Linked DNA regions of Canis lupus familiaris. The protein of the gene in region 3 purifies or fractionates together with the protein of the main gene of each other region. This does not show direct contact. Links are inferred from orthologs where the notes say so. Each region holds a gene or a part of one and is shown on either strand. Other genes may lie near its edges. The genes, in order: EZR, RHOC and ARHGDIA.

What was found.
Region 1: the proteins of ARHGDIA (region 3) and EZR purify together in Homo sapiens (co-purification; 3 studies listed by BioGRID and IntAct, with this or other methods). This does not show direct contact. The link is inferred for Canis lupus familiaris from reciprocal best matches to the Homo sapiens genes ARHGDIA and EZR.
Region 2: the proteins of ARHGDIA (region 3) and RHOC purify together in Homo sapiens (affinity purification with mass spectrometry; 4 studies listed by BioGRID and IntAct, with this or other methods). This does not show direct contact. The link is inferred for Canis lupus familiaris from reciprocal best matches to the Homo sapiens genes ARHGDIA and RHOC.

What each region holds. Positions count from the first base shown.
Region 1 is NC_049222.1:48,655,520-48,658,344, forward strand, and holds part of EZR (ezrin), read right to left. Parts: intron 2,503-2,825; coding exon 2,372-2,502; intron 1,742-2,371; coding exon 1,581-1,741; intron 1,218-1,580; coding exon 1,125-1,217; intron 1-1,124. UniProt on the Homo sapiens protein: Probably involved in connections of major cytoskeletal structures to the plasma membrane. In epithelial cells, required for the formation of microvilli and membrane ruffles on the apical pole. Along with PLEKHG6, required for normal macropinocytosis.
Region 2 is NC_049238.1:63,590,720-63,594,867, reverse strand, and holds the start of RHOC (rho-related GTP-binding protein RhoC), read right to left. Parts: upstream 2,848-4,148; 5' UTR 2,739-2,847; intron 1-2,738. UniProt on the Homo sapiens protein: Regulates a signal transduction pathway linking plasma membrane receptors to the assembly of focal adhesions and actin stress fibers.
Region 3 is NC_049230.1:1,242,089-1,246,183, forward strand, and holds the start of ARHGDIA (rho GDP-dissociation inhibitor 1), read left to right. Parts: upstream 1-1,281; 5' UTR 1,282-1,410; intron 1,411-1,983; exon of another isoform or gene 1,984-2,121; intron 2,122-2,706; 5' UTR 2,707-2,732; coding exon 2,733-2,922; intron 2,923-3,047; coding exon 3,048-3,131; intron 3,132-3,388; coding exon 3,389-3,465; intron 3,466-3,548; coding exon 3,549-3,612; intron 3,613-3,796; coding exon 3,797-3,996; 3' UTR 3,997-4,095. UniProt on the Homo sapiens protein: Controls Rho proteins homeostasis. Regulates the GDP/GTP exchange reaction of the Rho proteins by inhibiting the dissociation of GDP from them, and the subsequent binding of GTP to them.

The DNA.
Region 1 (2,825 bases), on a different chromosome or scaffold from region 3:
GCCACCATCACATTGCAGAGTGCAGTTTTATCCTCTTCCCTTGTGTGGCCACTATTTATGACGCTCCTCACTGCCTGTGGGCACTGTGCTCAAGCACCCTCCTACCTGCTGTTACCCCTAAATCTTCCAGTAACCTCTCCTAGGTACACATCCCCAATCATGCCCACCTCATTACCACTCCGTCCCTGGAGGTGAGCTTAGTTTGAACCTCTTCTGCAACCAGCTTTTTCTCACTCCGTACTTTATAATGAACACTTTCTCCAAAAACCTAAGGATCCAACTTGCATGGGGGTGGGGTGGGGGGATGGAGCTTAAGAGGAGATGTGAGGGAGGAACCAGGTGTCCCCAGAAGGAGCCACTACAGATGGGGAAGCACAGGTAAGGACAGTGGGGTGGGGCAGGCGGCTGCCACAGCTTGGTAGATGTCTACACTGAATATATCCAAAGCTCCCCTGGGGACCATTTTTCCCAGCAGGCATGGGGGGCTCAGCTGGAGAGGCAGGCTCTCTGGACACTGCAGTGGAATGTGGTTCTTCCTATTACAGCTGCAATTTATTAAACCTCTCTGCAGCATGGTCCTCGGAGCAACCTTACAGGCTGGCTATTACTCCCTACCTGCAGTAAGGAAACGGAGGCATGGAGAGGTCAGGCCACGTGCCCCATCACGCTGCATAAGAGCAGAGCTGCGACCCTCGCCCTGTTTTGGGACCTCCAAGTCCAAATCTTTCCATGGTGACATGGTGTATGCACCAGCGGTCAGAAGAGGCAGGAGGTCTAGTTTCAGGCCCTGTGGCCTGTTGCTAGGGGCACCCACATGACCAGATTTAGAGCTAGTCCTGATGGAGCTCTGGGGTTTGTTAACTCTGCTCCAGAGCAGAGGGGTGGAGACGGCCAGAGCAGAGGGGTAGAAGTGAACAAGAGGCTCCTTGTTCCCTGCTAATCCAACAGCGGCCTCCCCAGCGCACAGGGCAAGCCCATTCCTACAGGGATTCTGGCCTAAGAAGCCCAACTGGGACTGGTAAAGCATCGCAAAACATCCCGAGGCTCGCTACGCCACCCAACAGCCTGGCCCTGGCCGCCTTCTGGCCGTGTGCCCCCACAAGGTCTCTGGCCTGCAGACTCACCCGGTGCTGCCACTCCTCGACCTCGTCCTCCTTGCGCCGCCGCGCCTCCTCCAAGAGGGCGATCTTCGCTGTGTACTCTGCTAGTTCTGCGGCCTAGTAAAGCACACGAAGCTCAAATTATTTCTGGGGCTTTTTGGGAGAGCCCTTTTGCAAATGGACAGCCACACAGTTTGGTGACTGGCCTCATTCCCCTGCTCCTCCCCAGCCGGCAGTGCCCCCTGCTGCCCACCGTGTCCTCAAGGCCATGCCTCACCCAGACCACCACGTCCAGCTCCCGGGATGCCTGCAGCAGGGCCACCGAGGCCCAAACAGCAGCACAGCCCCTCCCACCAGGCTTTACTCTCTCAAGCAGATCGTTTTACAGCCCCAGACACAATCATAAGGCAGGCGTCACTTCTGCATCCCCAGAGGCAGCCTCTCCATAATTCAGCATCATGAAACTCAGGGAGCTCCTACCAGCTGCTCCTGGCTCTTTATCTGATCTGCTGCCTGCCTCTCCAGCTCCTCCTTGGCCCTCAGGGCGGCCACGCGGTCAGCCTCCAGACGCTCTGCCTCCTCCTGGGCACGCTTCCTCTCCTCCTCTAGCTGCAGGGCTCTCTGAATCTGGTCTGACAGTTCTGGAGAGAACACAAGGAGAAAAAGAAACCATGGAAGCGCCCATTGATCCCAGTGCCAGAACATTCCCAGTGAAACAACTACGGTCTTGTTAAAGGACCTGGAACACGATGGGGAGGAGGGGGGGGTTCCCTAGATTTACACAACTACCCACACTGGCTCCAGAGCCTGACAGCAATGCCCCAGCCTTGCAGGGCCTAGAACTCGTCGATCCCTTGCTTGGTGTTGGCGGACACGCAGAAACTGCACCACTCGCCAAGTTTTTGGTTTGTAAGACGGGGCAATGTACCATGGTTTGGGCACTCACTAGCCACGTGACCTGGGGCAAATTACTTTACCTGCTAGCCCTTAATATTGTCATCAGGAAAATGGGGAGGACTCAGTATTAGCCTCAAAGGAGTAAGGGAAAATAAAAAAAAAAAGATAATGTGCATAAAAGCAGTTAGCAGAGCATCTAAAGTACAGGAATATCTTTAACACAAAGACCCATCATCGTGTTCTCTCAGCCACGAGTCTCTGCTGTGGGTCTTGTTTTAACCTGCGAAGTTCCTGGCTGTGGGCAAGCTGACGGTCCATCTGCCCCTTGCTGTGGAATGCACCCCTGCGAACACAACCACTGGGCACAAACCCACCTTTCTCTGCTTTCTTGGTTTTCTCCTCATAGTCCTGCAGCCTGAGCATCAGCTCCTCCTTCTCCCGCATCATCTGCTCCTTCTCTCTCTCCACGGTTTCTCGCCTCTTCTTCTCAGTTTCCAGCTGCTGCCTGTTACAGGGTGAGGGACAACACAGCAATGTCTAGATGCTGGCAGGCACTTGCCATGTCAACACACATCACCAGTGCCCAGTCCAGGCCCCAGGCCCATCCTCTGGATGGTACCGACTTAGGAGGTGGCAGAGTCAACACTGAGCACACCCCTCCCGGGCTGATCCTTGGGACCCACACGGTAACTTCCAAAGGCCATCACCCCCCGAAGCTCCGTTTTGTTTGCTAGGTGATGTCACCCTGGCTCCTCCCCTGGGGAATGGTGCGGGCCCTACGAGGCTGCCCATTCTGGGAGAACACCACCCCGTCCTGCTGGCCTCCAC
Region 2 (4,148 bases), on a different chromosome or scaffold from region 3:
AGAGGGGGGCTCCAGGGTTGGAGCCCCTTCTGGAAGAGCTGGCTTTCACCTGCTATATACCAGGGCTTCAAGTCACACTCTGTTACCAGGATTTTGATACTTTTAAAGTTTAGCAATCACAAGGGCCCTATCATGGACACGTCGGCCCTGGCTCAGAGCAGGTCATGCCCGCCCCGTTGCAGTGAGGAGTCCCTCTCCAGACCACAGGCTGGCACAGCCAACTACCAGGGGACAGGTGGGTAAGAGCAAGTCTGCTGAGCATTTCGGTAAAAACCATCCCCCTCAGTCCCCAGAAGCCTGGGAAGGTAGAGGGTGCGCTTCCATTCTGACAAACGGGAAACAAACCTAGGTGAGGTTAGGACTCGTGTCAAAAAAAAAAAAAAAAAAAGGACTCGTGTGTCAGAGCTGGGGGGGCGGGGGCACACTGGAAGCCAGGCTCCATGACTCTAGGGTCTGTCACCTTTTCTACGGATCACCTCAGAGATGGGAAAGAGAGCCGAGGGAGGGGAAACCCAGGGAGGGCAGTGGCAGCAGCCAGCCAGCCTCCCCGGCCCACCCCACCCCATCCCAGTCCCCAAAGCTAGCCCCAGTCGCACAAAGGAGGCTCAGTCCCCGCGGTGCCCACAGCCCACATTTGGGCAGCCTGCCCTCCTCTCCCCATCCTCCTGGGCCCTGGCGGCAACACTGGGTCACTCAGCCCCAGGCAGGGGACAATGACCATACTGTGGGAGCAACACATCCACCATGGGCCGAGTGACACAATAATCTACTAGGGAATCACCTCCACCCACTCCTGGAACAGCCCCTTCCTCCCCTCTGTCTAGCTCACCCCAAGGCCCTGCCCACCCCTCCCTGTGACTCAGGGCAAGGAGTCAGTTTGCCGAGGTTTCCGTAGGGTCCCAGCCCCAGCACAGCCGAGCGAGCACCAAGCCTCCGCAGCCTCCCAGCCTCCTAGCCCCGGATCTGAGCCTCACTTCCTCCCTCCCTGGGGACAGAAGCTGCTCTCCAGCCAGCTGAGGCTCCCCCAGGTCTGCGGCCTCTGAGGAAGAGAGGGCGGACTTGGAGCCGGGAGGCGGCGAGGCCGTAGGGAAGAAGGAGGGGGCCAGAGGCGGAGCTGGGAGGAGCTCCCAAAACTGAGCAGAAAAGGGCCAGTCCCCACACCAACCAGGCAGCCAGCAGTTAAGGGAGAAAGGGATGGTAACCTGATCTCTGCCCCAAACCGGGCTTTTTCTCTCGGACCCACATCCTGTCAAACTGGGCTGAGCTCCTGGACTCCTCAGACCACCACCACCCCACAGCCCTGGCTTGTCTGCCTTTGAGGAAAGCAAGGAGTCTGAGCCCAAAGCTAGTTCTCTCCAACAGTGGGATCCTGGGTGGCCTCCCTCCACACACACACACACACACACACACACACACACACATACAAGTGGGATGAGAGGAAGTGGATGAGTCAGAGAGAATTTATAGGAATTCAGAGGATACCGCCACACTGTCCCCCCCACAAAGGGGCTCTCCCCCTAGTACCCCAAAAGATAGGCAAGGCACTCACTGTGCCAGCAGGTCCCCTCCAAAGATGGAAACCACCTTCAAAAAGGGAGTTCTCCCTGGAAATTCTGCCCAAGTGATTAACTCCCCCGTACCCAGTCCCGCTAGTTCCATTGGCCCAGCTGGGCGAAAACAGGCTGGGGGCACCTGGGATGGGCAGTGCTGATGAAGGGCAGTCACGTCCACAGTGAGAACCGGTTGCTTAGATGTGAGCAGGCCACTCACTGCCTCCCTGCAGCAGGGCATTTAGGTGGTACCAGATGGTGGGAGGCACAGAGGCCAGAATTCAGGGGCAAGGGCATGCATTAAGTGATCTGGAGCCCCCAGCTCAATCCAAAGACTTTCCCTTCACGCTCTCATTGGGCAAGAAAAGCAGCTGGCTAGGCCAAGCCAGGCCAGGCCAGTAGGCCCAAGGCCAACCTGGCAAGGAAAACAGCTCCCTGTGAAAGGCAGCCCCACAGGAACTGCCCTACTGACCCTCAGAGGGGCAACAGAACCCAACACAGAGGCTGGGATGCAGCCCACCAGCTCCTGGGCCTTCCCTAGGACAAGACGAACCACCCTCTCCCCTCAATCCTGCTCCAAATTTCCAGATGCCTGAGGGTGGGCTGCAGCCTGCAGACCAGCCCTGAGGGCTGGCGAAGAAATCAGATACCACGTCGACTTTCAAGCCAGAAGTGAGGGCAGGACTCAGCGCCGGGTCCTCCGGCCCAAGCCCCGTAGGGCTCCGGGAGTGCCAGGGAGGGAGGGGTCTGGGAGAGAGGAGGTCCTCTTCCGAGGGAGCTGCGCCTCCGGCCTCCCCGGCTCCCGGCTCCCGCCCCAGGACCGCTCGGGAGCCGTCTAGGGGGGCGACCAGACCTCGGCGAGCGGCGGCCGCCCCGGGGTCACACCGCGCCCCGTGCCCGGATTCCCACCTCCGTCCGGATGGGGGCCGGGGCGTCGGGCCGGGGGCTCCGTCGCCGAGACCGGAGTCGCCTCCTGGCTTCTCGCCCGGCGGGGCGGGTTCCGGGAAGCCGGGAAGGGGAGGCCGGAGGCCCCGCGGGGCAGCGGCCGGGCCAAAGCCCCCTCCCCGCCGCGCGCCCGCCCGAGCCGCGGCCGAGCGGACGGAGGCGACGGTGCCCTCCGGGGACGAGTTCCCGGGACGCCCCGCCACCCCGAGCCCCGCCACCCCGAGCCCCGGCCCGGCCCGGTACCTTCCGCTCCGCCGCCTCCAGCTGCGCGGCCAGGGCCAGAGGCTGAGACTGACCCGGGGAGGGGGCCCGCCCTCCTCCAGCGCCGGCGGGGAGGGGAGGGGGGGAGGGGGGGAGGGAGGGAGGGAGGGGCGAGGCGGGCCCCGCAGGGGGCGGGGCCGCGGGGCGGGGGCGGGGCCACGGGGCGGGGCGGGGCCGCGGGCGGGGCCGCGGGCGGGGCCGCGGGCGGGGGCGGGGCCGCGGGGCGGGGCGGCCCTTGGCTCCGGCTGCGCACGGCCCGGCCTGGGGCCGCCGCGGTCCTCCCGGGCTGCGGGGCCGGGGTCGCGGGGGCCGCGCGGCCGCTGACGGAGTGGGCGGGCCCCGAGGGGCCTCGGCTTCCGCCCCGCCTTGCAGCCCCCGGGGGAGTCGGTCTTGGGGAAAGTTGCGGGGCGCTGCGGGGGGGGGCGGGGGGAGGGCCGCTGCTGCCCCCCCGTGGCCGAGCGGCGCCCCGCGCCCGCGCCCACCCCCGGGGCCCCGCCCACCCGGGACGGCCGCTCTCCGCTCGGGAAGTCCTGAGGGGTCGGTTCCGTCCAACATCACGCCCCGCCCCTGGGACTTTTCGGATCCTCTGAGACCCAGGCCACAATCCCCCTCCTTCCCCGCGCTCGGCATTTCCTCGGGTCGGTGACTGTGCACCCCGAAAGGGCACTCCTGGAAGCCTTTCCTGGTCTCAGCCGGGAAGCCACCTTCCGTCTCCCGGGCGCTGCCTCTGTGCCGCTGGGGACCCAGCCGGTCCGACACGTCGCGCTGGGCCCTCATCTCCGTGTCTGTCTACACTTTTCCCGTTCAGGTGGCTGAGGAGGATGAGGATGAGGATGAGGAAGCCTACCAGGATGTTACTAGTTTGTGACCTGTTGGCTACATAGCTCAGCCCTCTTACTACTCATCATGGATCTTTGGGTTAAGCATATCCATCTCCTTTTGCTTGTAAGGATACTGAGGCTCAGACAAGTGGCTTGCCCAAATTTTTGCGATCTGTATGAGACAAGTGAGAGTTCAGTCAGGGCCATCTGGCTCTGGAGCTGGTGCTTTCTCCCTGCTTGTCCTCTACACCCTTCCCACCTGTCCATCCCCACTGCCTGGCACACTGTGTGGCACATCTCACCGTTTTTCAAGAAATATTCTCTGAATGAACGAATGTCAGAAGTCATGTAGCCTTAAAAGCTCTGAAGTGCAGACCACACTTTTGATATAAACGAGTAAGCCGAGGTCCAGAGAAGTTGGGTCCCCAAGCCTCTTCAGGTGCTCAAAAAACATGCACTGAGTGTGGACTGGGAGCTACGAGCTCAGTTCAGATGGATTTCTGTCCTCAAAGACCCTACAGTCCAAATTCAAAAACCAACTTGAAGATAGCAAGTTACGGAACTCTCATTA
Region 3 (4,095 bases):
CAGGTGGAAGAAAGGCCGCAGGCTGCTAACTGCTGAAGCTAGCTGCCAAGCCCACCGGGTTCACAGTACTCTTCTTTGGACTTTGGTGCATGTGGTGGGGCACCTGCAAGACAGGGCCCGACGGCCTGGCCGGCCCGTCTTCTCACCCCGTGGCCCCTCCTACACTGTCCTGGGGCAGGTCTGTGTGAGCAGAGCACCAGGGACCTTGCTTCTGAGATTCAGCTTCTAAGAGCCAGTGCAGCTTCGCCTCCAGTGCTTGCTGTTTCCCGGCTCTTGTCCTCTGTCCATGGTCCATCTGTCCGCCTCTGAGGCCTCACCTGGGACAAGTCAGCTACCTTGCTGTGGGCAGCCCTCTGGAGAGGTTGGGAGTGCCAGGTGGCACTGAGTCCTCCAGCGCAGGAGGAACCAGACTCCTGTTCATAGCATCTGCAAGAGCCTAGGGACCGGGGCTCTGGCTGGCGGCTGGCCTGCGACCTCACAGACCAGGAGCCAGGGCCGCCTGCCAAGCAGCTCCCTGATCTCAGCCGTAGAACTGCTGTGTCAAGCTGCTAAATACCATGGGAACGTTTTTACACTGTAATAGATCACGTATAAAATGTGTTTGAATTTTCCTACAGCTGGTTTTTTTTACTTTTTGTTTTGTTTTTCAAAAGCACTTGGGTGATCTGCAAGCCGACCTTTTCCTCTCCCAGCCGCTGGGCGTGTAGGGCGGCGGGCCGGGTGCGGGCTTGCACAGGGGAAGCGGGAGAGCAGCACACCGAGGCGCTCACCACGAGGCTCTGCACACACAGCCGAGGCTCTGCACACACAGCCGGCGCGCGGCTCCTACGTCACGCAAAATCTGCACATATTCCCCCGGTACTAAAAAATATCTCCAAACCGGTAGCCAGGTTCGTAGCTTGCCTTCAGTTCCCTCCGCACAGGTGCCGCGCGGGGCCGAGCGCCGGGCCGAGGGCGGGGCGCGGGGGGGGGGGGCGGCACCTGCCGGGGCTCGGCGGCGCGCGCGGCTCATTCGGACACCTGCCGGCCTCGGGGAAGGGCGGGCGGAAGCGACCGGGCCGGCCGCACCGGGAGCTTCCGGATTAGGCTGCGAGGAGCGCCTCGGGGCCGGACCCCCCTCCGCCGCGCCGGGACCCGGGGACGCCCCGCACCGGAGAGCACCCGGCGCCCCGCGAGCGGCCCCGGCCCCGCCCCCGCGGACGCGCCCACGGAGGCCGGCTCCACAAGATGGCGGCGGCGCGCTCCCGGCGGCCCGTGCGCGCGCATGCGCCGTCCGCCCTCCGCCGTCCGCCCGGCGCGAGCGGAAGTCGCGTGACCCCGGAAGTGGCCGGCCGGGCGCGCGCGGGCGGGGCGGCGACGTTCGTCATTCCGTGCGGGAGGGAGCGCGAGAGCGGCGCGGTCGAGCCTCCGGTGAGCGGCGGCGGCGGCGGCGGCGGGCAGGGCGAGGCGGGGCGGGGCGGGACCGGGAGGGCGGGCGCCGCGGGGCCGGGGGTGCCGCGCCTTTGTTCGCGCCGCTCGCCGGGGTGGGCGCGGGCCTCCTCGGGGGCCACCGCCCGTGTCCCGCGGCGCCCCCGTCCGCGCCGCTGCTCGCCGGCAGACTGGCCGGCGCCCCCTCCCCGGGGATGGCGGGCGCGGCGCCCTCACGGCGGCGTGGTCCCGAGCACCCCTCCCCGCGCGGCGCGCCCGCCCGCCCAGATTGCGGAGCGCTGCGGAAGGAAGTGTGGGCCGCGGCCATCGCTCTCGGAGGATCCTGTCCCCCGCGGCCACACTTGGGTGGCGTCAGGGCGTGAGCCTTCTAGAGGAATTCCAGAGGAAGCGGCCGGGAGGCCTGGAACAGCGGCTGGCCCCACCCCGCCGGCGGCGGTCCTTTGTGGGGCTCGGGCCGCCCCAGGCGACCCCAGGCGGCCCGCCGGTCCGTGGGGACGGGCAGGCCGAGGTCTAGGGGGCCAGGGCCCCGGCCCACCTCCCGCGCCGCCCGGAGGACCCGAGCGGGCTTCCGTGTCCCGGGGCACGCTGTCCGAGCCGCCCGGGGCCAGGATCCCGGAGGAGGATCTTGAGACCATGTGGGCACTGCCGCGCTTCCCAAATCGTGGCTCACGTACCCTGGCCGTTGGAGAAGAGGTTGGCGGGTACTTAGGGCTCCTGGTGAGGGGCCGGGACCCACCTGTGGGACTCGGGCTGGCCGGGTCACCAGAGCTGCGCTGTGGGGACTTGCTTCCCTGTTAGAACCGGGCCCAGGGAGTGTGTTTGGTCAGGGAGACCCAGGAGGAGGTGTCGCTTGGGGAGAGAGTCTGGGCAGCTGCAGAAGAATCTCAGGACTTCAGAGGTGACCCCTCCCTGTCGGGGCTGGGAGTGCTGTCTTCTCCCCCAGGCTTGGGAGAGGGATGCCTGGTCTTTTCAAGGAGCGGGTTGCAGGCCCCACTTGGTTCTGGGTGCTCTGTCCCAGTTTCCAGCAGGTCCCCGAGGTGGGCAGGGCAAGGAGTGTGGCCCTCTCTGGGCCTTAGGAGCCTGTTTGGGGGGTGAAGCTGAGTCTGCAGTTGCTTTCCTCCCGAAGGCTTACATCCCCTTGTGCCCAGACAAGGGGCCGGGTTACCTGCAGAGGGCCCTTCAGTACAGCGCACCTGCACCAGCGGGGGGGCTTGCTGAGAGGCAGGAGAGGGAGATGTGCGTCCCTTCAGGCTGACACAGCCCTGTCCCTGCCCACAGGTGTCCCAGACCAGCTAGGAGTGAGCATGGCTGAGCAAGAGCCCACAGCTGAGCAGCTCGCGCAGATCGCAGCTGAGAACGAGGAGGATGAGCACTCTGTCAACTACAAGCCCCCTGCCCAGAAGAGCATCCAGGAGATCCAGGAGCTGGACAAGGATGACGAGAGCCTGCGCAAGTACAAGGAGGCCCTGTTGGGCCGCGTAGCCGTGTCTGCTGGTAAGTGGGCTGAGGCAGCACCAAAAGGGATGCTTGTCACTTCTGGGTTTCAGCCGCCAGCCCCACCCCCCAGCCTCCAGCAAGTGGGAGGTGGGGAGGCACTCCAACCCACTCTCCCTCCGCAGACCCCAACGTCCCCAATGTTGTTGTGACCCGCCTGACCCTGGTGTGTAGCACAGCCCCGGGCCCCCTGGAGCTGGACCTGACAGGTGAGTGGCATCACTGAGGTCCTCCCGCCTGCCACCCTGCTGTTTCCGCTGAAACTAGTTCTCGGAACGCGGGTGCCCCCTTGTGGGGGGCGCGAGAAGCGCAACCAGGAAGTCTGCAGGCTCTGGCTTTGGAGGGACCTGGGCGGCGGGTGGGGTCAGGGTGGGGGCCGAAGGAGCGCCAGGCGCTGCAGATGGGAGATGCTGAGGTGGGCAGCTTCCTGCAGCTGAGCCTTTTAGTGCAATCTTCTTGGGCACAGGGGACCTGGAGAGCTTCAAGAAGCAGTCCTTTGTGCTGAAGGAGGGCGTGGAGTACCGGATAAAGATCTCTTTCCGAGTAAGGCAGAGGCTGTGGGAGGAGCTGGGAGGTGTCGGGCCTGGAGGGCCCCACCGAGCTCTGCCTGGGTTCTCCCCCTGCAGGTGAACCGGGAGATTGTGTCGGGCATGAAGTACATCCAGCACACGTACAGGAAAGGCGTCAAGAGTGAGTCGGGGGTTGGCCCTGCCCCCGAGATGGCGTGGCACCACTTAGGTGGCCTGTGGGAGGGGGCAGGGTGGAGGTGGCCGCCCAGGGCTCTGGGACCAGGAGGGAGAGGAAGATGGTGGTGTGTGCCCTTAGCCCTGGTGGGATCGGGAGCACCGGTGACCAGTGTGTCTCCTGCACACAGTTGACAAGACCGACTACATGGTGGGGAGCTACGGGCCCCGGGCAGAGGAGTACGAGTTTCTGACCCCCATGGAGGAGGCACCCAAGGGTATGTTGGCTCGCGGCAGCTACAACATCAAGTCCCGCTTCACAGACGACGACAAGACTGACCACCTGTCCTGGGAGTGGAACCTTACCATCAAAAAGGAATGGAAGGACTGAGCCCTGGCCTGGGAGGCGGGCAGGCCTTCGGACAGACAGACGGACCTGTCTGACACGCCCCACCCCTACTGCCCCCACCCCATCCCAACCCCTTACCAA